Xenopus tropicalis: one gene and its partners. The protein of the gene in region 5 purifies or fractionates together with the protein of the main gene of each other region. This does not show direct contact. Links are inferred from orthologs where the notes say so. Each region holds a gene or a part of one and is shown on either strand. Other genes may lie near its edges. The genes, in order: pard6g, llgl2, nipsnap2, csnk2b, prkcz, c1qbp and llgl1.

What was found.
Region 1: the proteins of prkcz (region 5) and pard6g purify together in Homo sapiens (affinity purification with mass spectrometry; 6 studies listed by BioGRID and IntAct, counting the BioPlex papers as one, with this or other methods). This does not show direct contact. The link is inferred for Xenopus tropicalis from reciprocal best matches to the Homo sapiens genes PRKCZ and PARD6G.
Region 2: the proteins of prkcz (region 5) and llgl2 purify together in Homo sapiens (affinity purification with mass spectrometry; 7 studies listed by BioGRID and IntAct, counting the BioPlex papers as one, with this or other methods). This does not show direct contact. The link is inferred for Xenopus tropicalis from reciprocal best matches to the Homo sapiens genes PRKCZ and LLGL2.
Region 3: the proteins of prkcz (region 5) and nipsnap2 purify together in Homo sapiens (affinity purification with mass spectrometry; 3 studies listed by BioGRID and IntAct, counting the BioPlex papers as one, with this or other methods). This does not show direct contact. The link is inferred for Xenopus tropicalis from reciprocal best matches to the Homo sapiens genes PRKCZ and NIPSNAP2.
Region 4: the proteins of prkcz (region 5) and csnk2b purify together in Homo sapiens (affinity purification with western blotting; 3 studies listed by BioGRID and IntAct, with this or other methods). This does not show direct contact. The link is inferred for Xenopus tropicalis from reciprocal best matches to the Homo sapiens genes PRKCZ and CSNK2B.
Region 6: the proteins of prkcz (region 5) and c1qbp purify together in Homo sapiens (affinity purification with mass spectrometry; 5 studies listed by BioGRID and IntAct, with this or other methods). This does not show direct contact. The link is inferred for Xenopus tropicalis from reciprocal best matches to the Homo sapiens genes PRKCZ and C1QBP.
Region 7: the proteins of prkcz (region 5) and llgl1 purify together in Homo sapiens (affinity purification with mass spectrometry; 6 studies listed by BioGRID and IntAct, counting the BioPlex papers as one, with this or other methods). This does not show direct contact. The link is inferred for Xenopus tropicalis from reciprocal best matches to the Homo sapiens genes PRKCZ and LLGL1.

What each region holds. Positions count from the first base shown.
Region 1 is NC_030682.2:96,284,769-96,288,268, forward strand, and holds part of pard6g (partitioning defective 6 homolog gamma), read right to left. Parts: intron 3,113-3,500; coding exon 2,890-3,112; intron 1-2,889. UniProt on the Homo sapiens protein: Adapter protein involved in asymmetrical cell division and cell polarization processes. May play a role in the formation of epithelial tight junctions. The PARD6-PARD3 complex links GTP-bound Rho small GTPases to atypical protein kinase C proteins.
Region 2 is NC_030686.2:44,579,306-44,582,312, reverse strand, and holds part of llgl2 (LLGL scribble cell polarity complex component 2), read right to left. Parts: intron 2,971-3,007; coding exon 2,866-2,970; intron 2,770-2,865; coding exon 2,477-2,769; intron 2,393-2,476; coding exon 2,254-2,392; intron 1,894-2,253; coding exon 1,743-1,893; intron 1,621-1,742; coding exon 1,504-1,620; intron 1,045-1,503; coding exon 878-1,044; intron 788-877; coding exon 523-787; intron 397-522; coding exon 243-396; intron 78-242; coding exon 52-77; intron 1-51. UniProt on the Homo sapiens protein: Part of a complex with GPSM2/LGN, PRKCI/aPKC and PARD6B/Par-6, which may ensure the correct organization and orientation of bipolar spindles for normal cell division.
Region 3 is NC_030678.2:98,148,833-98,152,332, forward strand, and holds part of nipsnap2 (protein NipSnap homolog 2), read right to left. Parts: intron 1,340-3,500; coding exon 1,200-1,339; intron 1-1,199. UniProt on the Homo sapiens protein: Protein involved in mitophagy by facilitating recruitment of the autophagy machinery required for clearance of damaged mitochondria.
Region 4 is NC_030684.2:74,724,673-74,728,777, reverse strand, and holds the start of csnk2b (casein kinase II subunit beta), read right to left. Parts: upstream 2,801-4,105; 5' UTR 2,700-2,800; intron 1,625-2,699; 5' UTR 1,617-1,624; coding exon 1,545-1,616; intron 243-1,544; coding exon 140-242; intron 1-139. UniProt on the Homo sapiens protein: Regulatory subunit of casein kinase II/CK2.
Region 5 is NC_030683.2:91,512,102-91,516,176, forward strand, and holds the start of prkcz (protein kinase C zeta type), read right to left. Parts: upstream 2,801-4,075; 5' UTR 2,441-2,800; intron 1-2,440. UniProt on the Homo sapiens protein: Calcium- and diacylglycerol-independent serine/threonine-protein kinase that functions in phosphatidylinositol 3-kinase (PI3K) pathway and mitogen-activated protein (MAP) kinase cascade, and is involved in NF-kappa-B activation, mitogenic signaling, cell proliferation, cell polarity, inflammatory response and maintenance of long-term potentiation (LTP).
Region 6 is NC_030678.2:105,098,247-105,102,437, forward strand, and holds the start of c1qbp (complement component 1 Q subcomponent-binding protein, mitochondrial), read right to left. Parts: upstream 2,801-4,191; 5' UTR 2,676-2,800; coding exon 2,465-2,675; intron 1,566-2,464; coding exon 1,415-1,565; intron 36-1,414; coding exon 1-35.
Region 7 is NC_030685.2:15,997,226-16,000,725, reverse strand, and holds part of llgl1 (lethal(2) giant larvae protein homolog 1), read left to right. Parts: intron 1-53; coding exon 54-207; intron 208-296; coding exon 297-450; intron 451-685; coding exon 686-969; intron 970-2,308; coding exon 2,309-2,573; intron 2,574-2,689; coding exon 2,690-2,804; intron 2,805-3,011; coding exon 3,012-3,100; intron 3,101-3,217; coding exon 3,218-3,341; intron 3,342-3,500. UniProt on the Homo sapiens protein: Cortical cytoskeleton protein found in a complex involved in maintaining cell polarity and epithelial integrity. Involved in the regulation of mitotic spindle orientation, proliferation, differentiation and tissue organization of neuroepithelial cells.

The DNA of each region.
Region 1 (3,500 bases), on a different chromosome or scaffold from region 5:
ATTGATCTGAAATAAGAAAGCAAAAGAAAAAGCCATTGCAAGAGGGGAAATAATGGTAAAGCTGCTTGTTGACCTTTGTCTGTTGATTATGTGCAGCCAGAAAAAGCAAATGAATATGGGAACTATGGTACAATGCCCAGTCACAGACACATCATAGCTCCCACTCGCTGCCAGGGTCTCACAGGGGGACAATCACTATTAGCTTCCACCCGTCATTTCTCTTCTGGCACAGAATATATAGCAGTAAATAAAAGGTGATAACATACGGACAGCTAAACCTACTTTACTCTGCACAGGAGGATGAGAAAAGAGTTGGCAAGTTTACAAGAATTTGCTAAGCATTTGCTTACTCTTGGCAAGCTACCGATGATAGGCTAGTTTAGATTTATTTGCGTATTATATAAGAAAAAATCCACTTTACAGATAATGTACTTTTTATCATTGTATTTTTGCATAAAAAGATTGCACACACTAACTGACAGGCATCAAAGGGTGAATGGAGATATGAGATGCATCAGATGTGTAAGCGGTATTTTATCTGCGCTAAGGCTAATGCCACACGTTGCATATTCTCAGCAAGAATACGCCCCGCTACTGTAAATATCTCCTACCTGCGCCAGCACCCGGAAACACTGAATACACTATGGTGCAGGCACATGGAGTGTATTTCTGCCTTAAACTGCATATGCAAACATTTTCAGGCAGAAATATGGTGCTTGTGTCTGCACTAGAGTGCATTCAATGCTTCCGGGTACAGGCACAAGTAGAAGATTTCTGCAGCCCAGGAGCATATTCCCAGCAAACGTTTTACGTTTGCCATTAGTTCCATGACCCCTACGCTTAGAAAAAACCTGTCCCTGCACCGGGAAGCACTGAATACGTTCGGGCACAGCTACATGTGCCTGCACCTGAGCATATTGAATGCTTCCCAGTGCAGGCAAAAGTAGAAGTTTTTTCAAGCTTTGGGGCATATTTGTGCAAGTGTTTTTTGGCTTCTCAAGAATACGCTGTGTCTGGTGAGCACCTTTAGGTTGAAGAGCACTAAACAATTTAAGGTACTTTTCAATTGTCTGAAAGTGCCCCTTACCCCATTAGCCATAAAAGTTGGAGAAAGGAGATTTGGGAGAAATAGACGAAAGACTGGCATTGTTCTCTACTTCAGGCACACTGCGCAACTGAAGTTCACAAGCTTCATATTTTCTTAAGGCGCAGTATAATAAATGGCATAACAGAATACAAAATAATAAATACTTGTATTCTGCAATGGCAATAATGTTTATTCTGCTGTTTATTAAATTGCAAACTTTGTGTGTTGAACACTTTTAATATTAGCTTGAGGGTGGTACTTTTTTCAAATAAAAAAAAACCAAAAACCTGCTTTTTTATGAAGACATTATTATATTCACTGCACACTGTTGCATCAGCCTCGAGTATAAACAGCACAATATAAAATGCACTGATGCAAAACTATGGTCAGTTTGATAACAGGTACAGTTCCTTCCAGAACCTGTAACCCACAACAACCAATCAGGTGTTTGCGGTCAAACAGTAAACTGGCAAGTCAATCAATAATGTATTAATCTACCCTGACTGCAACATCTTTTTTATTGCATATAAAACTGCACACAAAAGGTTTTCCAACTGTTATATGAAACAAAAGGCTGAATGGGTGTGTGCCATTTTTTAGCCTTAACTATTAAGCACCTATAAAACTTTATATTTACAACCAAGAATCAGCTCTCAACAGAAATGTCTCTCTCAACAACATTTACTGCAATTTACAGCCTTTTTTGGAAGCCAAAAAGTTATAGATCCCTTTATAAAATGGGGACTTTTTAAGGAAACAACAAAAGGGGTTAAAGATAAAAAAGACAATGGCAAAATTTATGGGAAACGTTTTTCATGCAGTATAAAGCTGGTACTGGTATTAATCATTAAAAGCAAAAAAAACAATAACCTAAAAATATTATACAACTGGATGTGGATTACATACCATATGACACAGAGTACAATTTTTGAGTGAGCACAGTATAAGTACTGGACATAATGACTAAAGATAGGTACATCTTGCCTCAAATAATCCTTTTGATCTCTAAATGTATACTTATGCTGATGAGCTCATTGGCTGATTGGATTTTACCAATATGTCCACTTTGAAATATATTTGCATACAGATTCTGATCCAATTTTGGATTATTCGCACATTTGCCAGTTTGACCAACTGACTATTATCTGCCCAGTTTTATCCATCTTAGGACTCAGCTTGGTCTGATCTTGGGCACTGCTCAAAATATAGACTTATAGACTTACTTATATTTATAATTATCACCTTATTGATAATTTCCCGTTTTACAGACACTTAAATAACATCTGCTATATGAACATATTGCTTCTATCTGCAGAAAATCTCGAATGTAATTGACAATATTTAAAAAAGTACTGGTAGAAGCAAGGACTTAATTGTGATTGGAGAATATAAAATCAGTAAATTATCTGGTGCGCGGTTACTTTATGCATGATTATTATACATGGGTGTCTCCGCGACACCTCAAGGTACCTGAGCAATGAACCAGCCCAGCTATGAGTCAGGTCTCACAAGTAGAATATTCATTCAGCAGAACAGCTGACCTAAAAGGCCACTACAACAATACCCTCAAAGTTTCCAGCAGAATGTTGCTTACCGCTAAAATCCACTCTGTGTGCCTGCCCCGGGCCAACACAATAGGTGCAGGCACATCGAGAAGCATTTCAGAGCGTAGGGGCAGATTCTCCGCCTGTGTTTGTTTGCAGGCTGAGAATCTACCATGTCGGTAGTATCCTAATAATATTCAAAGTTAAATATATATTTTTTATCCACTATACTAAAATTATATGGAATCCGTACATTACCTTGCTTTTGAATAAATACTCGGAGGAGTGGGTTTGCACTAGAAACAGCTTTGAAGAAATTTTCATTGTTGTTAATAGGGAGAAGGTCTCCATGAACATCCGCATACCCAAGCATGACGTCCATGCTGGAGATGTGATGAATGTGAAGAATAAGGTTGTAGAACTCATCAAATGTTCCTGGTTTGTAGCGGTTAAGAGAGAACCTTCTAAACTCGGCCCCATACTGCAAAAGAACAACAACAACAAAAAAAAGTTTCAGAACAGAATAAATAACTAGACACATTTCTTTTGTAAATGTTAGAATTAAACATGGACTTATTAAAAAGTACAATTTTGAACAGCAGCCTGGATGCTTTTTGTAATGTTATGGCAGTGAAGACTAGTCTTGATCTGGAAGAGAAACACTTCAAACTTGGGCTATAGACAACACACACTGGTTATCACCAGCCAGTGACTTTTTTAGGACATGACAGATTTCCACTGACCTTAAACTTAGCAAAGATTTTTTTTCTCTTTAAATGCCCTTTCCATACAGCATCAAAGCTTCCTAAAAAGGGAGCTAGAATAAAAGCAGTACTTTCTGTTTCACGAAGAACAAGGTGGGTAAAATC
Region 2 (3,007 bases), on a different chromosome or scaffold from region 5:
TGATTTGTCCTTTAAGCAATACGCTTTAGAGAATGCCAGACTGGCCCCTACCTCCTGTGTGGTCCGTCCCAGAAGACCTGCACACAAAGAAAGGAAAACTCTGGTTAATTGGGAAATGGTTCAGTCCGTGTCCCAGCGCATACACAATCAATACACGGCCCAATAGCTGGTGGGACCACAGGCAGGATAATGTTCACGCCTGCTGTTGATTCGTTGGGGGGACCACCCCACTTGACACCCACCTGGACCTGTCAGTTGGTTGGTCAGTGCTGCCCCCCCGCCGTAGCCGCGAGTTACGAGGGGGCTCCGGAGGATCCACTCTGGCACGGGGAGCCACCAACCAGCATGTGGATAGCGAAAACCGTTCCAACTCAGAGGGGGAGATTAGATAAAACCCTTTGAAAATAGTGATGAAATAGTGGGTTAGGAAAGGGCAAGTAGATCAGGTAGCCACAGAATCCCCCACATATAGTTTCCATACCCACTGCTTAGCCAGCGCGGGGGGCCACCCAATGTACTCACCCTGCCCGTGTTTGGTGAAGACACAGGAGGCGATGCCGCTCACATCTTCCTTGCGGATGCAGTCGTACCGGACTTGTGGCTTCAGATGGGGCAGTGACACCACCTGAATATCCCCCAGGTTGGTAAGAATGGTCAGGTGGTTCTCGCTGTGCTCCTCCGACTTGCAGCTACCGTAGGTGCACACCGTCATCTTGCGCACGCGGCAGCCGTCCGTGGCCGTCAGTTTTAGCTTCAGTTTGCTGCTCACTTTGGGCAGAGTAAAGACCTGCAGACAAACAGATGCCATTAGTCACTCACCCCCCCATAAATGGATACTATGGCACCCCTTATCCGAGGCCCCGAACCAAAGCTGCACCTTAAACTGCTCCTCGGAAGTGACCAATAGCTGGTGGCTGCCTTGCATGTCGGGGCTCTTGGAGAGATCGTGAGCTGCCTCTAAGGGTTCTGGGAGAGGAACGCTGTGACCGTCCAGAACCAGGATCCCCACAACCGGAGCCCGGTGCATGAGTTGGATTTCCTTAGCTGCAATAAAAGATCCATTACTGACAATCTGCCCCTGAAAGGGGATCTACACCCAAAAAAGGTAATTCAAATTCACTTTCCAACCTAAATTCAAAGCTATTTGTAACTGCAATTGCTGTGGCAGTGTCTGTCTGTCTGTATTCTCTGCACTGCTGGCTCTGACTCCTGAAGCAATGTAGCAGAAGCCAGCTGACTGACAGATGAGGAGAACTAACTTTTGTTACATTGTTTCAGGAGTCAGAACCAGGGAACAGAAAGGGATGCACAAATACTGCTTTGCAACTGCAATTACATGTACAAATAACTTTGAAACCAAAATGTTTTTCCATTTTATAATGGGAAGTTGCTTAGAATGACATTTTCTTTCATTCTGCAAAACAGTTTGTGGGTGGATAACCCCCAAGACCAGCAACCATCATGACAAGCGAGGGCCAAGGAAACGAATTTCTGCTCACTCACCCTGCGTTGCCGCCACTGCCTCTTCCATTCGGCGCTCTGTGGGTGGCACCCGCAAAGAGAACGCATACACTGTGCCGCCATTTGTCCCCGCCCAGAGGGAAGGCGTGTGCCTAGAGCCTGGCAAGAGAGATTGGCATTAGTAAGAACAGTTGAAAAGAAGTTCAGAACTAATGAAAACCCAGGTCCCAAGATTATGTCCCATCTATGGTGCGAAGCCAGCACCCTCTAGGGTAACTCACTGTCCCTCAGGTAGGTGTCGGCAAAGTACAATGTGCGCACGAATCCGGTGAAGGAATCCTCAGCCGAGCGGGCCTCTATCCGCCTCTGCACGGGGGCCAGTTCCATCTCTTGCAGAGCTTCCTGCTCAAATCGAGCATTGGCCTCTTGCACCTATCAGGGAACAGAGATGGGGCATAAAGCAAAGAGTCCCTTGTATCTTCCCAAACCACGAGTTGCCTGGGATTCCCTGGTTATTAACGCAATGGTATAGTCATAGGCAACCCATATCCTCAGTCTAGCCTGGGTCAGGAACATAGAACTCTTACACTCAAACATACTGTATAGAGCAGAACATAATCCTATGGCTCTTTAAAAAGGCAGAAGGTGATTGGAACCCTTTATTGCCCTATGTTTTGGGGTACCCATCCCACAAGGCTGAATCTCCGTGATTCAGAAATGTGGGGCAACCCTGGAGCTGGTGGGGAGCAAAACAGAGCTTAGTTACCCGCCCTCACAAAAGTGCCAGCTCACCCTATCAGGCCCTGGTCTTCTCTTGTTGACTTGACTCCTCCTAATGCGGCGGAATGACTGACGCAAAGATTTCTTCAGAGATTTAACCCGTGACAGGGGACCCTCCAACGCCATTTGGTCACTGGCATGTAACGTGCACCTGTGAGCAAAGACACAGTTGAGCTAATCTTGACCTACTAGCCCAGCTCTGTGCTCTTTTTTTTTTAATTTTTTTATCACTTACTTGGCCATTACTTGGCGCTTCTGCTGAAAGTCGTACAAGCCGAAGCCATGGCTGGTACCAAAGGCCAACAGCCGCCACTCAGAGTGCAGGGCCAGGGAAGTAACAGCAGCAGGGGGCTGGCACTGCACCAGGGCAAATGGCTGGAACCCCGGTGGAAAGCGGACAGGGTCCTCCCGAGCATGGAGCCGTTCGTGGCCCTTCCAGCGGTAGCCTTCTTGTTCCTGAAGGAGGTCTACTAAGGTCTCGTCCACCACATGCTCTGCAGCTTCATCATTCAGCTCCATAACCAGAACCTGATCAGGGGTGAGATACATTGTCATAAGGGAACCCCTGGCAGTAGGAACTTAATTGCACAAAGCTGGTGGCACCGTAAGCTCCTCCTCACTGACCTGTCCAGCCGTGCCAGCCACAGAGAGGTAACCACTGTATTTGCACATGTAAATCTTCTGTATGCCCAGCCTGGGGTCATCACTGTAAGGGTCAAAGGAGCCAACCTGCAAAAGGGAAAAGAGATATAGAAGAGAGAACCCA
Region 3 (3,500 bases), on a different chromosome or scaffold from region 5:
AAGGTCAAAATCAACCCAGAAGTGAGGCCATAGCCATATTGAAAGATTAAATCACACATACATCACATAATGTTGAACATGACGCTTACTTGCTATTTAGGATTTGCTGTTTCCTGATGTCTACTGCTGGCCACACATCAAACAAAAAGGTGCTTGACTGCACTCTGATTCCTTGCAGTCATTCTCTGTGGGTCTTCCTTTAATATCAATGTTGCTAACATAACCCTTACTGATGCTAACTACTTCAGACTTCCTGGCCTTTTGTTCTCTGGGTTTTTCATTAATGAGGTGATAAATATGTGCAAACTCCATGTGTACCATTATGGAAAATATGGCAGTAGTGCTGTTACATTAGTGAGTCATATCATAATTTAAAACAAATATTTGTCATAAATCAATGCATAAAGCACACAAAATTATATGAGGATAGTGAAGTTTTGCTAATAATTAACAAGAAGAAGGAAAGACCATTCATGCCATACATGAAAATATTAACTAGAAAGTGGCTTGATCAATATACAATATAAAAGCTTCTTTCAGGCAATATAAAGATTGTAAATAATTTGCCGCATAAAACCAAGATGCTATGTAAATATCTTATTTTCCTAATTTGTAAAGGTCTGTTCACATTAAAGACTTTGGTCCTTCATCCTAACTGTAGTGTGGCCTGGATGCCAGTGAAGAATACTGCTACTGAAGGTAGACTGGAGTCTGCAGTATATATAAGCCATAATACATAAAACAATAATCACCAAATCCTTCACTAACATTTCTACCAACATCTCACACTTCAGTCCAGTCTTATAGCTCTGGTTCCATGGGTAGTGTTTGGGGACTTTCTGAGAGCAAGTTTCCTTCAACTGAAAGGGAAGTGCACTGCACCTGTACCAGAACTATATAGATCAAAATATATAGATCAATATATATATCTGCCTCTTATGGGATTATCCATACTCCAAATACACTGCATGAGAAGAGGGTGTTCTATTAATCATAAAATAACTATGTAATTGCAGGAAAAAAGATGTTAACCAAAATGGTTAAACATCCCACTGAAAGTCTGAAAGGCTACACTAGAACTGCCCTCTGTTTAGTAGATCACAAAAAACATTTAGGAATACCAGCTTAGAGGTTTTCTGTATGAAAGTATTTTCTTCTCTTCATGTATGCTCTAGTAACTGAGAAGTGGTAATAATTACACTGAATTTTGTACAGGTTACTGATCTCCTTTTTGGCCAGAAGGTTTGAGTGAGCATCCTTCCGTGGATCGACTTTACGAACAAAGAGTGATCGCAACCAGCTGTCTTCTCTGGCTTTCTGACTCGATGATGCAAGACCCCTGTAATAACAATATATCAGTAAGAGCTGGGAAGCAAGATTTAAAATGGACATGGCAAAAGGACCAAGTTATACAGCTCTTGCAGCACGTTGAGTTTATATTACTATATACAATATAATACACCTGGCCTAAGTCTATCTCCCCACACTATAACTATATAAACATAAATGCTTTACAATCTTCAACATTCTCAATTCTTGCTTAGTAGGGATAAAGTACAAGGTACTGTTGTATTATTACAGAGAAAAGGGAATTTAAAAAAAAAATGTAATTATTTGTTTAAAATAGAGTCTGAGGGAGATTCCTGTAATTTGTAATTTATTACCCTTTATGGGGTGACATTTCCCTTATGAAAAATGGACTGAAGGCGAATTTAACTGCATCTTTAAATAGCTCTAGGGAATGTGTCTGTAGTAACAGGTGACCGGCACATGCAGAATGTCCTTCAAACTGTGTGCCAGAGACTATTCTAACCAGAGCGACAGAAAAACAGCATAGAAGAATCTACCATTCTCTTCAGTGATGTCTGCAACCTTAGTAAAAGAAAGCCATAAAAGGACTAAATTATTATATAAGCTCCCTTTGCCTGCAGTAAACAATCTTGAGCACAGTGTAATGTTTTTCAATATATTTTCACTCCACATGATTTACAACTTGTATAGAGTTTGTTGCACCATAAGTCTTGTTTTCATGGATTATTGCTGGAGTACAGGATGGAGCACTTTAGAGATAATACATTGTTATATAACTGAGACACAATAACCCAGAAAAACACAGAAATGTGGCTATTTGCCACCCCTGGTAAAATGCTGTCTGAGGCAATGTTCTCTTAAAAATTGTATGGACTACCAGGCATTTTGAATTCCATGGTTGCCACTATACTACCCGATCACTGTTTTTCTTTTTCTTTTGTGCTTTTAGCTATCAGACATCGTATCTTATGATTTCTCATAACCAAAAGTAAGACTAGGTCAGTTTGACTTCTATTTATATGAGAAGCACGCTCATTTCTTCTTTTTTGCTTGTTCTTAGCATTACCTTCTTACTGCTTCACAATTGCACATAACAGTTTTTACCTTAAATACAATGGGATGTTTTTTCCTATTGCAAAACCTTCTGGCAGCAGGCAAGGCTGGCTTATAACTTCTAATCATTATAGAAGTAATCTCTATAAACCCACTATTAGGCTATAGGCCTACACGACTATTCTACTCGCAAGGCCTTGGCATACTGCCCAAGCTAAATGTTTCTTCATTCCCCAGTAAGGATGTCTATGTAGCACAATATTGTCACTGCTGTAGTATATAGTGATGGAGAACCTGTTATCTTTTTAACATCTGAACATGATAGTAAAATTGCTGTACTTCTACCCCCATATTTGTTCATCCTGAACAAATGCTTGTCATGCAGTTGCATTGTTTTCTCAATTTAACACCAAATTTATGGGCTGCAGTGAAAGCACCTGAAAAAGTTATGGGTGGCATTACCTTGACCCTAATTTTCTTTACTATTAAACTTTATATTTCTGTGGTTTAATTATGCTATTTGGGCAGGGTCGGACTGGAGGGTGCAGGGCCCACCGGGGCCCCTGCCCCAGGGGCCCTCCAGGTGCCCCCGCCGGCCGTGTCCCTTAACCCCCCCCAGGGGTCCCCACCCCACGTCCACCCTGAGCGTGCATACATTTAACGTGTCAGGGGAGGAACAGTCGGGCAGGGGAAGTGCCAGCAAGGGTCGGGTCTGGGCCACCGGGGCCCACCAGGTTTTTTCCAGGTGTCCCAGCAGCCCAGTTCGACCCTGTATTTAGGGCACTTTCAAGCTGTAGTTTAAAGTGACCTATAACACAAATCTGGGGAAATATTAAAAGTCTTGTTTACTAGCTTAGATGCTATTTTGCACAACTGGATTTGCCAACAGCAACTAAGCAGGTCTTTCCTTTTTATTTTTTTAACTTGTAACAGACCTCATTTTAACCCCCCCAGGGGCCCCCACCCCACGTCCACCCTGAGCGTGCATACATTTAACGTGTCAGGGGAGGAACAGTCGGGCAGGGGAAGTGCCAGCAAGGGTCGGGTCGGGTCTGGGCCATCGGGGCCCACCAGGTTTTTTCCCGGTGTCCCAACGGCCCAGTTCGACCCTGTATTTAGGGCACTTTCAAGCTGTA
Region 4 (4,105 bases), on a different chromosome or scaffold from region 5:
GGCTCGCCATTTCTGACTGGTGAAGGCAACTGTAAAGTACAGCTGGATATAACCAGTTCTAATAAAAAGATAATGTTTACTATGCCTATGATGGCATGCATATTAAGTTAGCTGAAGTCACAATGGGAGATATTCTCACCAGGTTCAAGGTCCAGTATCATGTCCAGTGCCTGTCTATAGTGAGGGACCTGCTCATTGAGTCCTGTCAAGTTAAACTTATCCTGGATATAGTCTTCATCCACCTAAAAAAGAAAGTATGTCAGCAAAGCAACATCTTTAGAAAACCAGATGTAATATTTAATAGGCTGCCCCTCAAAGGACATGTAAATACCTGTGATTCTGGTTGTTCAAAGGTATTGTAAGGCTATTGTAAGGCTGCAGCAGCCCCTTGATAACTTGGGATTCCTTCTCCTCCTCTAACCTACTCTTCCTTCGGAAATGACTTTGGCTGTTGGCTACTGGGCATGCTTAGCTCTTAATTCAAATTACCAAACACACCCTCCAGTCTAGCAGCCAATGAAGAGAGGTCATCACTGGTTTTCATAAAAACACTGCTCTAGCTGTGCACACTGCTAGAGAAATATGCTTATGTGTCAGAGGGAAACTGATGGGTAAAAGCTCCTATTTGTTTTAGAAAAATATGTGAACAAAGGCGATATATGCAGTACATATGGTTCAGTTGGTGTGAGGAAGATGTGTCCAACCTTTATGGTAGGAAAATAAAGGGTTTACATGTCCTTTAATGCAACGACTGGCATTTTGTCACCTGCATTTTGTTGTGGCGACAAAATGGTGAAAAATTCCTTTCCATTGCAGACAATATTAAATGCCAAAGATAAAACACAATGTAATTGCACAAAAATGGCTTCTTAATTATTTTTGTACAATTATACAATGTAAGTGTTCTACCTGCAGTAACTGCAAATGGAGAGGTAATTCTGCTGGAAATGAAAAGGTGGAACAGTCAAATCTTGACTGAGCTGAAAGGCAAGCGGGTAGGAATAAATCCTTACAGCTGATTAAATAAAAAGCACTATTAAAAGGGGAAATAAAGTCAAAATCTTAACCGAGTGTTTATATATAGCCCTAAGATAGGAAAGCACTATAACAAATGTTGTTCTATATAAATCAGACGGCAAAGCTAACTGTAGCTCATTTTAGGGGAATAGCAAAAGATGCAAAATACAAAGGCTTCTATTTAAAAAATGATAGTTAATTTTTAATGGGTTTATATTGCAAATGTATTTAATTTGGTCTAAACAACACACACAAGCATTATGATTTTTGACTATACAAAGCAGTGCCGAGATACATTTTTCAGAAAGAGGAGTAATTTTCTTTTCAGGAGGGGTGTGAGATAAGAGAGGCTGAAAGAACATCAGCAAGAATAAAACAGCAGTAGGAGGTAGTATTTTTTTTCTATATGATGAAGTGGAGTGTTTTTTACAGCTATTTATTTCACTAACCTGGTAGGTTTCTGTCAGTGATTTTGTGATTAACAGTTATTATTTCTCTCAAAGAAAAGATCTTTAAGTAAGACTCACCTCACAGAAAAATTCATTGCCTCTTAAACCACAAAACCAGCTAATCCAGGACACCTCCTCTGAGCTGCTCATTTTCTAGCCTGAGGAACAAAAAGAAAAGCTTTTATACAAGGAAAATGAGAGTAACTCAATAAAAAACATAGTATTGGGTCAAAATATGTATAAACGAATTAAAGAAAATTAAACAAAACTAACACAGCAATGTTAATGAGAGGCAGCAAAAAAAAAAACTGGAGCGCGTGAATTAAGCTATGGATATTACGCTAAGGTCGAGGCAAAATAAAATATAAAAAAGGGAACAAATGGGGTGCTGTAAAATCAGATGACAGAAATAAGATGTAATATGAAAGGTACAAGTGGGGTACAGACAGACAAGGGACAATAGCTATGGTTCCATATAATTAGGGAGACAAGATGTGGGCACTGTAAGGTCTACTGGAGGGAATAGGGAACAAACAAAGCACAGAATTTTTTAAATAAAGAGTCAGCAATCAAAATAAGCCCACAGTGCAGCAGGAGACTAAGTTACTGAGATGGCCAGGTTATAACATTCCCCCAACAAAGCACGAATACCCCCACCCCAAAACACGAACACTAGCATTTCTAGGAAAGATCAGCAGAGGAAAACATCTCAGATCTCCCTTTTTACCACCATTACTGCCACATTTTGGCTGTGCTGGGCACGTCTGGCGCCGGATCCCCTGTACTAAGCTGGGAATAGACTGCAGCAATATGGGCTCCCCGGAGCAGCCGCCTGCGCCCTCGCCCAGGAACCCGAAGCCATAAGCCTTCAGAATGGGCGCACACTGCGGCTTCAACAACTACTGCGACAAGAGGAATAAGGCGCCCCCAACAACATCAAATGATGCGGGGAAATCCGCAATGTTGCTTATAGCAAAGTACAAGAAAATACACAGCAGTCTCATAGTCTATCTGGAACGAAACAACGGAAGTTGTGTTCCGCTCTGCCTCACGTATAGATAGGCCCGAAAGGGTTAGGGGGAAGCCAGGCGGGGTGATGTAAGGCCCGGGTCTATAGCTCGACAATTCCGGTCCAAACAAACGCGTTAAAACATAGGACACAGCCAAGATACAATGGGAGATTAGGAGAAAAGAACCGGAATACACAAGGCGGGCTTTACCCCAAACACTCACCTCCAAGGGACCGCTGCTTGCCGTATATTTGGAGGCTTTGAACCGGCAAAATTTCACCGCAGCGCACTAGGCCCGGTCCCCTTAGTGCGCAAGCGCATTAGAAACCAGAAGCAAAAAGACCGGAAGTAATTCTTTCTGATTGAATCGCGGGAAATGTAGTCATATAGATAAAACTCTACACCGGATGCGATTCGTTTGTGAGAGGAGACGTGGATAACTAATACGTGACTAATGTAATTTTGTATATTTTTGTAGATGTAGGCGCATGCGAGGCTTTTTTAGTTACGTTATGGAGTAGTGTAGTCATTAAAAGAACCATCCTGGATTTTCACAAAGTGGCAGTGAAGTTTGCAGTAGTACCTGCTTAAAGCTAGTGTACATGGCATTGCTGGATGTTTAAGCAAACTCATAGGGCACAGTGAGCCACGTCTGGATGATTGAATCATAGCTTATTGGTTTGTGATGATCATTATGTGCTTGTACAGTTACCATCAGGAAATGACTGAATCAACACTCCAGGCAACTTTGGCTGGATGCGATTTTTAAACCTGACAAATAGGGTTGCCACCTTTTTGGAGAAAAATACAAGCTTCCCTGTTTTTTTTTAACCTTTTTTCCTATTAACATCAGCATCAGGGAACCGGCCAGGCTGGTAAAATAGCAGGCAGATGGCAACCCTGGTGCCAAATCATTCCCTGACCCTGTGTCATACAGATATTGACTGGGCAGAAACCCCTTATATGTCATAAGAGACGCCCTGTCCATACCTCCCAACATTAAAAAAAAATGAAAAGAGGGACAAAAAGATTTTTTGACCACGCCCACTTTGTGTGGCCACGCCCCAATTGCCACTCCCCATTTTTAAAAAAAATACTCCTTTTATATATATATGAAATGGCGGGATCAGACGCAAATGTGCTATACCCTCATACTGTACTACCTAAAGAAAAACAATATAGCAACTCCTACATATAAAATACAAATATAGAGAGAAGGCAGTCAGTTATAAGTGAGTTATAACTATGTACCAGTTTTGCCCCCCCCATACACAGTGCCCCCATACACAGTAGCCCCCCATACACAGTAGCCCCCCCATACACAGATGCCCCCCATACAGAGTAGACCCTCCCACAGTGTCCCCCACACAGTGTCCCCCATACACAGTAGCCCCCCCATACACAGGTGCCCCCCCCATACAGAGTAGCCCCCCCATACACAGTATCCCCCCCCACACAGTGTCCCCCATACACAGTAGCCCCTATACACTGCTGCATAGTTTTTTGATACTATGGGGCACATTTATTATGACAGGTCCAAATACGAAAAATACATATTTTTTCTAAAGTTTACAACTTTTTTGTACTTTGCGACAATTTGCACAACAATTTGTGCGACAAAATCGTATT
Region 5 (4,075 bases):
GCCCCATACATGGGCTGAAAACTTGTGTATAAACATGAACGACTAGCTTAACTTGTAATAGACTTATCAGATCTAATTCCTGATTGACTGCTCTTGGCAAATTAGCTCCTATGTTAGTATATAAGACTCAAAGTAGTAGATCATTTTTTAATTAGTAGGTTATAGATTAGCCTATTCTTAGCAACTTTTTAATTGGTCTTAAATTATACCTTCTAGTTCTGCCTGTTAGACAGCAGTAGGCTACTACAATCTGCAATTGCTTTTCTTTTTTTTTTAATTTAGCTTTTGTTTAGCAGCACTTCAGAATTTAAGCAGCAACATGTTTCTGTAGTGTTGCTAAAGTAAATTGAAAGCTAGCAACCATAAGGCAATAGAAAGACTGAGAGACAAACAGGAGTGGGCCCCACAGAGCAAAGGGGATTTTGGCTGCTAGAGTCTCTACCTCCATTTGAAAGCTGGGAAGGAGCAAAAAAGCTACAGCTACTAACCGGCCTCCCTAACTCCAATCTCTGCCCCCTACAGTCTATATTAAATACTGCTGCCAGAGTTCACCTCCTCTCATCCAGGAGAGTTCAGGCCCTCCCCCTGCTAAAGCCCTTATTGTGGCTTCCTATTAAACAAATAATATCTTACAAACTCCTTCTCTTAACCTTCAAAGCCCTCCATTCCTCTGCTCCTCACTACATCTCTTCCCTTGTGTCTCCGTACGTTCCCGGCCAACTCCTTCGTTCCTCGCAGAGCAATCGTTTGGCTGTGTCCCCCACTACTTCCTCAACAGGAATTGGATCCAGCCAAATCCACGTGTCTGGCCAAACCTAATCTGTATCCTTAAAATCACGTGACTTTTTGTCACAAACATAGAAGTTGAAAATTTTTCACCAAATACAGTTCTCTTTAGCCCCTGCATGGCCTAATTTTCATATGCAAATAATTATTCAGATCGGATTAGCGAGGTTGCCAATTGAGCGGATCTTCTCCCGATATCCCTACCTACAGGTGGGCGATATCGGGCTAATTCGAATTAGATTGGCGGGTATATGCGCAGTTGGTTTGGGGACCGGATTAACAAGCTGATGCAGTCCCCAATCCAACTGAAAAATCAAACCTGCCTGAATGAGATCTGGACGATTTCATGCAAGATGTTGGTCAGGCAGACCCGTCATTTGTGCCCACACACAGGCCGGTCTAAAGGACCAATATCAGCAGCTAGAATCGGTCCATGTATGGCCACCTTTACTTTAAAAACATACAGGGCTCATTAAACCATCCATAGATGTAAAAGAGCTTGGATAACATCATATGTGAAGCATACATGTATAAATCTTCCTTAATCATACACCCAGAGCCAAATAATTATTAATAATATAATCTAATATTTAATAACAAACAACTTACATATTGTTAGAATAAAAACAGTCTCTGCATAATTTGCAAATCACCTTAAACTGTTTATATTAAATACATTTTTATACCACAGCGTTTTTCAACCACTGTTCCGCGGCACACTAGTGTGCCGCGAGATGTTTCCTGGTGTGCCGTAGTACCAATGTACTAGGGGGGCACTGCTCTTGGCACCAATGTACTAGGGGGGCACTGCTGCTGGGCACCAATGTACTAGGGGGGCACTGCTCTTGGCACCAATGTACTAGGGGGCACTGCTGCTGGGCACCAATGTACTAGGGGGGCACTGCTGCTGGGCACAGAGTTAAATTTTTTAACATTTTCTAATGGTGGTGTGCCTTGTGATTTTTTTCATGAAACAAGTGTGCCTTTGCCCAAAAAAGGTTGAAAAACACTGTTATACCACATTCAGAATGTAAAAGGCAACCTGCCAATTGTCTAATGTGTGATGCGGAAGGAAATAGAGGCACTCTATGTGAGTAACTAAGCAATCAGTAGCTAGTTATTAATCAGTACCCTAACCAGTTACACAGCATTCACAGTGACATAGGACAACAATATCTGTTGCATTACTCTTTTACTGTGAACTTCTTCAGCCTCCATAATAAACACAGAATGAGCTTTCCCAGAGGTGAATTGCTTTCAGCATGAAACTTGGTCACAAAAAGCTTGTATTATATGGGAAATAAATATTCATTGTGAGTATGAGAACTTCCCCTTCACAACTGTTGTCACCACTCTGGGGCACAATCATTGCAGTGTTACTGGTACTAAAGTGCTTTACAGCAGCTCTAATCCGGCCTCTACAGGAATTCAACAATCACTAGGTAACTTCAGCAGGTGATGGAAAAGCTGAACTGCAGCTCCCAACCAGTGCTGTCATTTTAGCTCCCTACAGGAAGCCAGGTGATCTCTATTTAAAGAAACAGTAAAGAAATAATGATGATGATGATGATGATGGGAGCTAGGAAGCTAGGACACCGGACACTTGATACACACACGTATAGAAAGAAAATACCTGAGTCAGCCTGTCCCTTACCTGCAATACTGATACACACACTTCCTTTTAGCTCGGCTTCTCCACTGAGCCCGATCAGCTACTCCCGGCCGTAACTCCAGCCGATATCCCCACCCCCCGGTGTAACACGGAATCGGAGGACGAACATTACGGAGCCGAGAGGGAGGAGATACAGGAGGCGTCACTGGACAGCGGATACGAGAGGGTTAATAAGTACCAGCTCGTCTAACCCTGTCACAGTGCAACAACTCCAAGCATCCCCTCACACCTGCGCACACTGACCCGCCTCTTTAGTTGCCAAATTCCTGGCGCTACCAAACAGTTGCCTGTCAGCGCCGCTGGCAAACAACTCCCCGGCTAAAACTCAAGAGTCTCTCCTTGCGAAGCACTTCGGACTCTCGAAACATGGCGGAGTAAACTGGGTGTTAGTGGCAGCCAATAGCAGAGCTCTCCGATAGCTCTCCAGCAAATCGCGTGCTCGTATTGAAAATACAGTGTCCAATTACACAGGCCGGCCAAAGGTTAGCTGTCCAATGCAAGACGAATGTTAATTACCTGCCGCAGGACTCAAGGGATTAACCAATAGGGACAAAGGAGATTACACCTGCAGCCAGTCATACACTGGGAAAGGGAAGCAAGGCTATAAACCTGTAACTGAGTAACAGGATGGATTGTAGGGAGCTGTCACTATTCTGAAGGAATGTGCGCGTTTATTGTTGAGTCACAGTGCATTGCTGATTGTGGAATTCACCTGTTGTAATAAAACATTACCTGGGCGTGTACAAAAAGGAGCGCTAGTGTGAAAATATGCATGACCATTAGTAATTATACAATAAAAGAACGGAAACGCTGTAAATAGTCACTGAGATGCTCTTGGCTGGCAGGTTGCTCTGCGAAACTCAATTTCGTTTCTTAAACGTCGTGATAAGTGTGCGTGTAAAGGTTTTAACAGCTGCTCACTAGTATTAACAACATTATAAAATGGTTCCAACTATAACCAAAATATTGGAGGTTAGACTCCTAACAAAGGGCCAAACTTGTCTCTGTGGTATTCTGTTCTTTCCATGCCTAATTGCCTATTATGATGCTAAAACTTATAGCGTTCGATATAGTAAATGGCAGTTCTTAGTATATCTTTCCTGTATGATTCACATGGAAAAGTATCTGTGAGGAAGTAAGTGCTCTAAAGGTGTTATAGTGTAGAGTGCAGTAGCCTTATTATTAATATTAATAAAGTGCATAACATTGTTCAGGAAAAAACCAGTAATCCATAGAGAAGGAAAGTGCTTGTGCCTGGTATTTATTCTGAATGTGCTAAATTCAAATAACATTTTCAAATTCAAGTTAATATGCAATGTTTTGAAAAAATGCCGGATTGAGGTTGAGTTTGGTAGAGTTAAAGAAAATTTACACTTTAGTAAATATGCTTCCATATGTCTTATAACTCTTCAAGTTACCTGTGTGGCATTGATTTGTCATCTACGCATCTACATTAAAATTTGGTGAAACAGGTTAGTGACCACTCCGAGGAAACATTATTTTTATTGGATAGAGCTAATCACTGATGCATTGCTATGTGTTACTGCCTACATAAATATTTGTCCAGTGTTTAGTACATAAGCTCAGGTGAGTTTTGTGGCACACTATAAAGCAGGG
Region 6 (4,191 bases), on a different chromosome or scaffold from region 5:
GAATGCTATTGTTTGTGTTGAAAGTAACTGCAATCCTAATAAGACAAAATATATTTTCCAAGCTTAAGTAATTATAACTGATGCTACTTCAATATGTTTACATAGGATTTCACCAGTCTACCCACCATGCTGATTATATTGATGTATTTGGCCATTAAATGGTTAGCTGGTAATCTATAAGCTGTCACTACACTTAATATATTTTCAGACTCCCAGAAAATAAGTCTTAATGGGATAGAGGCACATTCCAGGTTTTAACAGGAATATATAAACCCTAGTGCTGTTATTCTTTTGTAATGTATGTGCCCACCTGCCTCCTCCAGCTCATCCCTTACTAACTTGCATGGCTTGAAGTTAAACATCTTCATGAGTGACAGCACACTTGGGGAAGGGACAATGTTCTGATAGGCTGGAGGACAAATGTTAACATCTTGCCTACGAGAACATCACCTCATCCCCACAATGCAATGTAAACCAAGAAGGAATAGGAGCAACTTGGCCATCCAGGAATATAGTCAACTTGCACCAATAATCACTTATATTTTGACACCCCTCAGTGATTATGCCTTTTCCTTCCAATTTAATTTTCATTCTCATTTGTTACTGCCTATTGCAAAGGTAAAATTAAGAATCATAAATCAGGTATTATGATAATGTTTCCCCTGAATTCCTTGTCTTGTCTTAAAATATTAGTGGACTATACATGAGCATGTATAGCAGATTATTCTGGTTTTGTGCTTAATGTGAATACATTACAATCGTATTCTACTGCACTTATATCTGAGGTCCAATGTTTAATCACTGAAGCAAGAATATGTTTCTTAACAAAATGCCTCTACATCAACCCAGGAAGATGAATTGGGTCAGTAAAAGAACAAGTCAAAATAAGTAGGTTTTTTTTTTTAAAACTCTGTACAGCCCCCAGAACAACATACCTTTCTCTCATCCAAATTTTAGTTTCCCTATTACAGTCAGTTCAACTACAGCATTTTTAATGACCTCCTTGTCTAGGGGGAAGCCCCCTCCCCTTTTTGCTTTCGGAGCACTCCTCTCTCCGACTATGACCTCATGCCTGATTGATTTTATTGTGTGCAGAGGCAGTGAGCATGCCCAGTAAGCACCTCTTTAAGGTCTTCATAGTGGAAGAGAGGAGAGCTTAGAAAGCTAAACAGGGCAGAGCTTCACATTAGACAAGCAAGTCAGTAAAGGAGATGCAGCTGCTTGTAATACAAAAACAAAATCAATTTTCATGGTTAAAACGTGTGTTATTCTGGGGGCTGTTTAGAGTAATTTTAGGGGATTAAAAAAATAAGGCTTACTTAAGAGGACAATATAATTTTTATCTCAAGTGGCAGATTCATCATATCATTTAACTATATGCTAGGATATAGGCAACCATCATTAGTACACTTACTTTTCACCTGATATTTTTCTGACCAGTTTAGCCTCTGTGCCATTGATGTCTAATTCCCACCCACCAGACATTTTGGGAAGGTTCTTATGTTTCTGGATCTTTCTCTCTTCTTTGATTTCATCTTTGAGAAATTCAGCAAATGCCTTGTCACCTACAATAAATATAAAAAATAAATCAACACATTTTAGGGGGGATTTGAAGCTTATTTTTCAAAACTGTGCATCAGCTTTCAGACTTCTAAAGAAACAACTTGATCATGCACACCTATTACACATTCTATACTACTTTTAAGAATTAAGTCTTTATTTTCTTTGAGAAAACGGGACATAGCAAACGTATCCTGCAAATGTAATTTTTTTTTGTAATAAAGTGAATATATTGTACTTGCCGATAACTTATATGTCTATATCTTACATTTTTATTCATGTTATACTGTTTGCAGTATCTTGTTTGGAATGAGCACTAAGGTAGTATATAAAACAGTTTTGGTTCCATTGGGGATGACTTACAACTCTGAAAGTCACACATGCAACATCATTCAGGAATTACACTAATAAATCATTTCACATCTCAACAATGACACAATAAAATATTTGTAATGTGCATATTCCTGCTTTATCTGGTCCCATAGTATTTTAGGATAATTTAATGTAAAATACCATCTAGGCAAAGGAAACACTGACCCGACAATGTAAAAAATATGTCCAAAATATGACACAAAGCCTGCATACTTGAGAAAGCTCTAGTGAAGAATTACTTGATTCAAAACAATTTACAGAAAGGTTATTTTTCATATATAATGAATCTCATATTCATGAAATAAAATGATTTAAAAAACATTTATATTATAATCTGATATCGAAACAAGCATTAAGAAAAACAAGCATTTTCAGTATGTGGATGTAGGCATACAAATGTCTGGGAGGCAGACGCGAAGAACAGACAAAAAATGTACATCCATGTCCCGAAGAGCTCACAGTTTAGTTGTGGAATGGTACCAAAACCCTGCCTTACATAGCGCACTAATGTAAGGGCCAGGAGAGCACTTACCCTCAGTGTGCAGTCCCCCACAGCCACAGGACACGGCCGGGAAGCCACGTTGAGGATGCAGGAAAGTCTGCCTGAGCCCCGGATTCCCCCCGAGCAAACATAATGAGCGTGAGAAGGATCGTCCGGTGCACAAAGAGCTCAGCAGCTGTTGGGGCCGTACGGCCGCTACCCGTGTGGCGGATAAGAGAGCTCGGGACAGTGTGGAGAACATGGTCCTGCAGATACCCACGTGTGTGTGTGACAAGAGGACACCGTGACACCCCTGACCTTTCACCTCCCGAAAAGGAGGCGGAGCACAGGAAGTGTCGTCAAGGTCTCCTTGGCTACACGCAGAGGTCGCTGTTGATTGCTTCTGTCTGTAAGGAATACGTTCGGAAGAGAAACCTTTGTTGTATATAGACGTTGTATTGTAACGCTTGAAATGAGAAATTAGAATCCAGTGGTTTACTGGTCACATAGACTGGCAGCTTGGAGAAACACAATGCTTGTACTTCTGAAGGGTCATATTTATTATAGTTTTGTGTAAGCCAACATTACCGGAGATGTTACCCTGTAGCAACCAATCAGTAGCTAAAGTAGTAGTTAGAGAACAAAAGCAAAGCTCTGATTGGTTGCTAGGGGCAACATCACTGCTGATGTTGGCGTGCATATTCTGCCCCACTGTGTACACCTGAAAACACCTTGGCTGAAAATAAATACAATAAATAGGACTCGAGCTGAAATGGCATTCTGCATATTGTTTCAGTTTAAAAAAAAATAAAAATCTTATTTTTTGCAGTTATAAAGTATGACTTTGAAATTTGGGTTATTTTTACTCAAATAAGCCGCTCTTTTCTTCTAAACATGGTTGTTTGTTCAAAGCTCTCCTTCTACCTGAACAAACAAACAGCTCCCGTCTGTAAGCAGCTGCCTTTGAGGTATATATCCTAATATGGCTCCTGGTTGTAAAGCCAGTGTACATTCCTCTTACTACACTTTACGGACACTTTAGCAAAATATTGGAACAGCACCATGTATTTGTAGATTGTAAGCTCTTTTGGGCAGGGCCCTCTTCACCTGTTGTATCAGTTATTGATTGCTTCATATTTTACTTTGTATCTCCACTGTATAAAACCCACTTATTGTACAGCGCTGCGGAATATGTTGGCGCTTTATAAATAAATGTTAATAATAATAATGTCATTTTTCAAACTAAAATTACTTTTTTTTTTTTAAAAATTGATAAGATAACATAAAAGTGGGCCCTCTGGTTTAGGGGGGGCCTTATGTGCCAGTGAAATCGGGCTGGTTTAAATTTACTGTGGGATTGAAGACCACATTGGCTTGTCACTGTGGCCCTTGCTCTGACGACTTCTAGTCTTTTCATTGTAATTTAATGATATATAATGATAGAATTAGCCCAATATTGCCCACCTTAGTGCAGTGATCTGCAACCTGTGGCTCGTAAGCAACATGTTGCTCACCGACCCCTTTGATGTTGCTCCCAGTGGCCTTAAAGTTTTACTCCAACCAAAGGCTCCTGCAGGCTTTCAGTCCACATGGGGCTACCAAATAGCCAATAGCAGTCCTTATTTGGCATCCCCAAAGAACTTTTTTCATGCTTGTGTGGCTCACCAACACTTTGCATTTGAATGTGGCTCCTGGATAAAAAAAAGTTTGGGGATTCCTGTTATAGTGTATGGCCATCTAAAGTTTAGTTTTGAGGCACTTATGTCACAAGTTTCTGA
Region 7 (3,500 bases), on a different chromosome or scaffold from region 5:
ATCACTCTGTGTGATTTGCCTGGAAGTGGGGCTGAAATGTCGTCTTTCTCTAGGTGCACTCTGCACCCCAATGACTCGCTCGCTATGGAGGGTCCCTTATCCAGGGTGAAGTCCCTGAAGAAGTCCCTACGGCAGTCGTTCCGCAGGATACGGAAGAGCAGGGTCTCTGGGAAGAAAAGGCCAAACACAGGCAGCCCCCCCAGCAGGGTAAGGAGCAGTTAATGAAAAATGTGCATATTGGTGAAATTTGGGCTAATCGGCTTATAAAACTGCTACTGTTTCTTTGTTGCTATTAGCTACAGGAGGCCAACGCTCAGCTGGCGGAACAAGCTGGGCCACATGACCTTGACATTGCCCCCGTGCAGAGAAGGATTGAGCCCCGCTCGGCCGATGATTCCCTGTCGGGTGTCGTGCGTTGCTTGTATTTTGCAGACACTTTCCTACGGGACGGTAAGGAATTAAGGCTCATCGTGCACCGTACAAATTCTCCCCCATAGTTGCCTGTCAGTGGATTTAGGCAATGGTTCATATATTGGGGATGGGGTCTGGAACATGAACCCTGGTACTAGTATCGATCCTCTTCTACTCCATCAAGTCACCCCACGAGCCAATCAGATTGTGGTGTGGAAGTGTTGGGTGCTCCTGTCTTTCACTGTCAGACTAAACACCCATTTTTGTTATTTAGCGATCCATCACGGCCCCACCATGTGGGCAGGCACCAATTCCGGCTCTGTATTTGCGTACGCTTTAGAGGTGCCTTCGAGGGAGAAGTTATCGGACCGCTCGGCAGAGGCTGTGTTGGGCAAGGAGATCCAGCTCATGCATCGGGCCCCGGTAGTGTCCATCGCAGTGCTGGACGGGCGGGGAAACCCCCTGCCTGAGCCCTTTGAGGTTTCCCAGGATTTGGCCAAAGCCCCGGACATGCAAGGGACCCACTCGGTGCTCATCTCTTCCGAGGAACAGTTTAAGGTCAGTTTTGGATGAAGCTGCATTTGCCCTGCTGGCACCACATGGGCTTCATGGTGCGCTGTGACCGGCAGAACTGCACTGCTCTAGTGGCCTGTGGGCTGATTGGCCAGATTGCTTAAGGGTGAAGACACACTGAGCAGCTACTTTTTCACGGCTACTACACTCTAGAAAATCCCCTGCCATAGACAATAGAATAGCTCTGTGTGCCTTAACCCTAAAGGAACAGTAACCCCCAAAAAATAAAAGTAATTAGAATATAATGTACCATTGGCCTGCACTGGTAAAACTGCTGTGTTTGCGTCAGATTACTACCTGCTGTCCAGAACCAGAATCACCTCAGATGGGAGTAGGGAGAGTTGCATCTACGTTTGGGGTGTCTAATTCGGACAGCTGGGGGTTTGTGTCTCCTTTAAAAAATAAAGTAACCCAAATTTGTACCTTGTACAACCCTCCTTTACTCCAACCAAACAAAGGAAACCTGACCTGAAAAGACCAAGCTGGATAACTGGGTTGGTGCAAATGGGGCAGACTGGCTGCTTGGAGCATTCTGCTTCATTATTGGCAGTGCTTTGCCTCACTGCAGCCTTGCCTTACATTCTGAGCAGCTGCTGCTTTGTTATAGGAAGGAAGTGGCGCGGGCTGTGATTCAGCGGAAATGAGCTTCCCACAGCAGTACACACACACACACACACACACACACACACACACACACACACACACACACACACACACACGGGTATAATATTGTACTGGCAACTTAGTTACTCTGGTACACAGGCGGGTATAGTATTATGGTATATATGGTTTATGTATGTGAGGGGATAGATAGGTCAGTGTGGGTCTGTATGGGAGTGGATAGATAGGTCAGTGTGGGTCTGTATGGGAGTGGATAGATAGGTCAGTGTGGGTCTGTATGGGAGTGGATAGATAGGTCAGTGTGGGTCTGTATGCGAGTGGATAGATAGGTCAGTGTGGGTCTGTATGTGAGTGGATAGATAGGTCAGTGTGGGTCTGTATGTGAGTGGATAGATAGGTCAGTGTGGGTCTGTATGTGAGTGGATAGATAGGTCAGTGTGGGTTTGTATGTGAGTGGATGGATAGGTCAGTGTGGGTCTGTATGTGAGTGGATGGATAGGTCAGTGTGGGTTTGTATGTGAGTGGATAGATAGGTCAGTGTGGGTTTGTATGTGCTAACTATGTAGTGACTTGGTTACTTGGGTGCTGGTGCACAGGTGGGTGTAATGTACCTGTAACTTGCAATGCACAACATTATGGCATCGGGAAAGTAACTAAGAGGAAAACCCTGGTTTATATTTTTTTTACCTTCTGCGCTCGCCAGGTATTCACGTTGCCCAAGGTCAGTGCCAAGACAAAGTTTAAGCTGACTGCCCACGAGGGCTGCCGCGTGAGGAAAGTCGCCCTCGCCACCTTCACCAGTGCCACTTCCGACGACTACTCCGAGAACTGTTTGGCGTGCTTGACCAATCTGGGGGACATCCACGTGTTCACTGTGCCGGGGCTGCGGCCTCAAGTGCGCTACGACTGCATACGGAAGGAGGACATCAGTGGCATCGCCTCCTGCGTATTCACCAAGTACGGGCAAGGTGAGGCCAAGGCAGAGGGGTAACCTGATTGGCAGATGTAGAACAGTCATGGCTGAAGGACATAAGTGGCATATCCCTGTAACCAGACCTAATGGCGGTTCTTTGCTGACCCCCAGGCTTTTACCTGATCTCCCCCTCGGAGTTTGAACGCTTTTCTCTGAGTGCCAAGAACATCACAGAACCCGTGTGTCTGGTGGAGTTTGATCGGCCCCACGATCCATTACACTTCAGGTAAGAGGGCTCCGCAGTTGCCCTTGGTGGCACAGGGGTTGCCATTGCTGCCCAGCACTACACTGGTCTGGTTAAACTACAGGCAAGTTTCCTTCCATGGGCCAGAAGCTTTCTAGTTGCTTCATTGGTCAGGGTTTGCTGGTATTCCGTGGGAGGGTCCGTGGCCAGGATTGGCTGTAGATGCTGATTATAACTTTTCTGTCGCAGCAATAAGATGACTCCATCTCCGAAGGGCAACCAGGCCAATGGGACGCACATACTGAGGGACTCTGAAGCGAGCCAGCAGGCAACAGAAGGTAGTGAGCTGTAACCAATCATATATAACTATACTGTGAGGCCAATGCAAAAGGGGGATATTTAAAGTCTGTTGGTCCTTAAAGATTCTCATGAAACGCCTCACTTCTCTCATGCAGGGAACGGGTGTGAGCGTATGGCAGAATTCTCGCCCTCTCCTCTCGACTCGCCGATGAACAGCATGGATACCACTCTGGACACCACGGGAGACATAACGGTGGAGGACGTGAGGGATATACTGGGGTGAGCCTTGTGGGGGCCGCTCCGAAATGATGGCTGCCATAGTAGTATGAGCATTGCAGTTCCACGGGGTGGGCAGGATCCATTGCAGGGTGTGTTGTCTGTGTCTCAGGCTTACAGAGAAGGAAGAGTTTGTTTTAAGGCGGTGCTTATCAGTGCAAT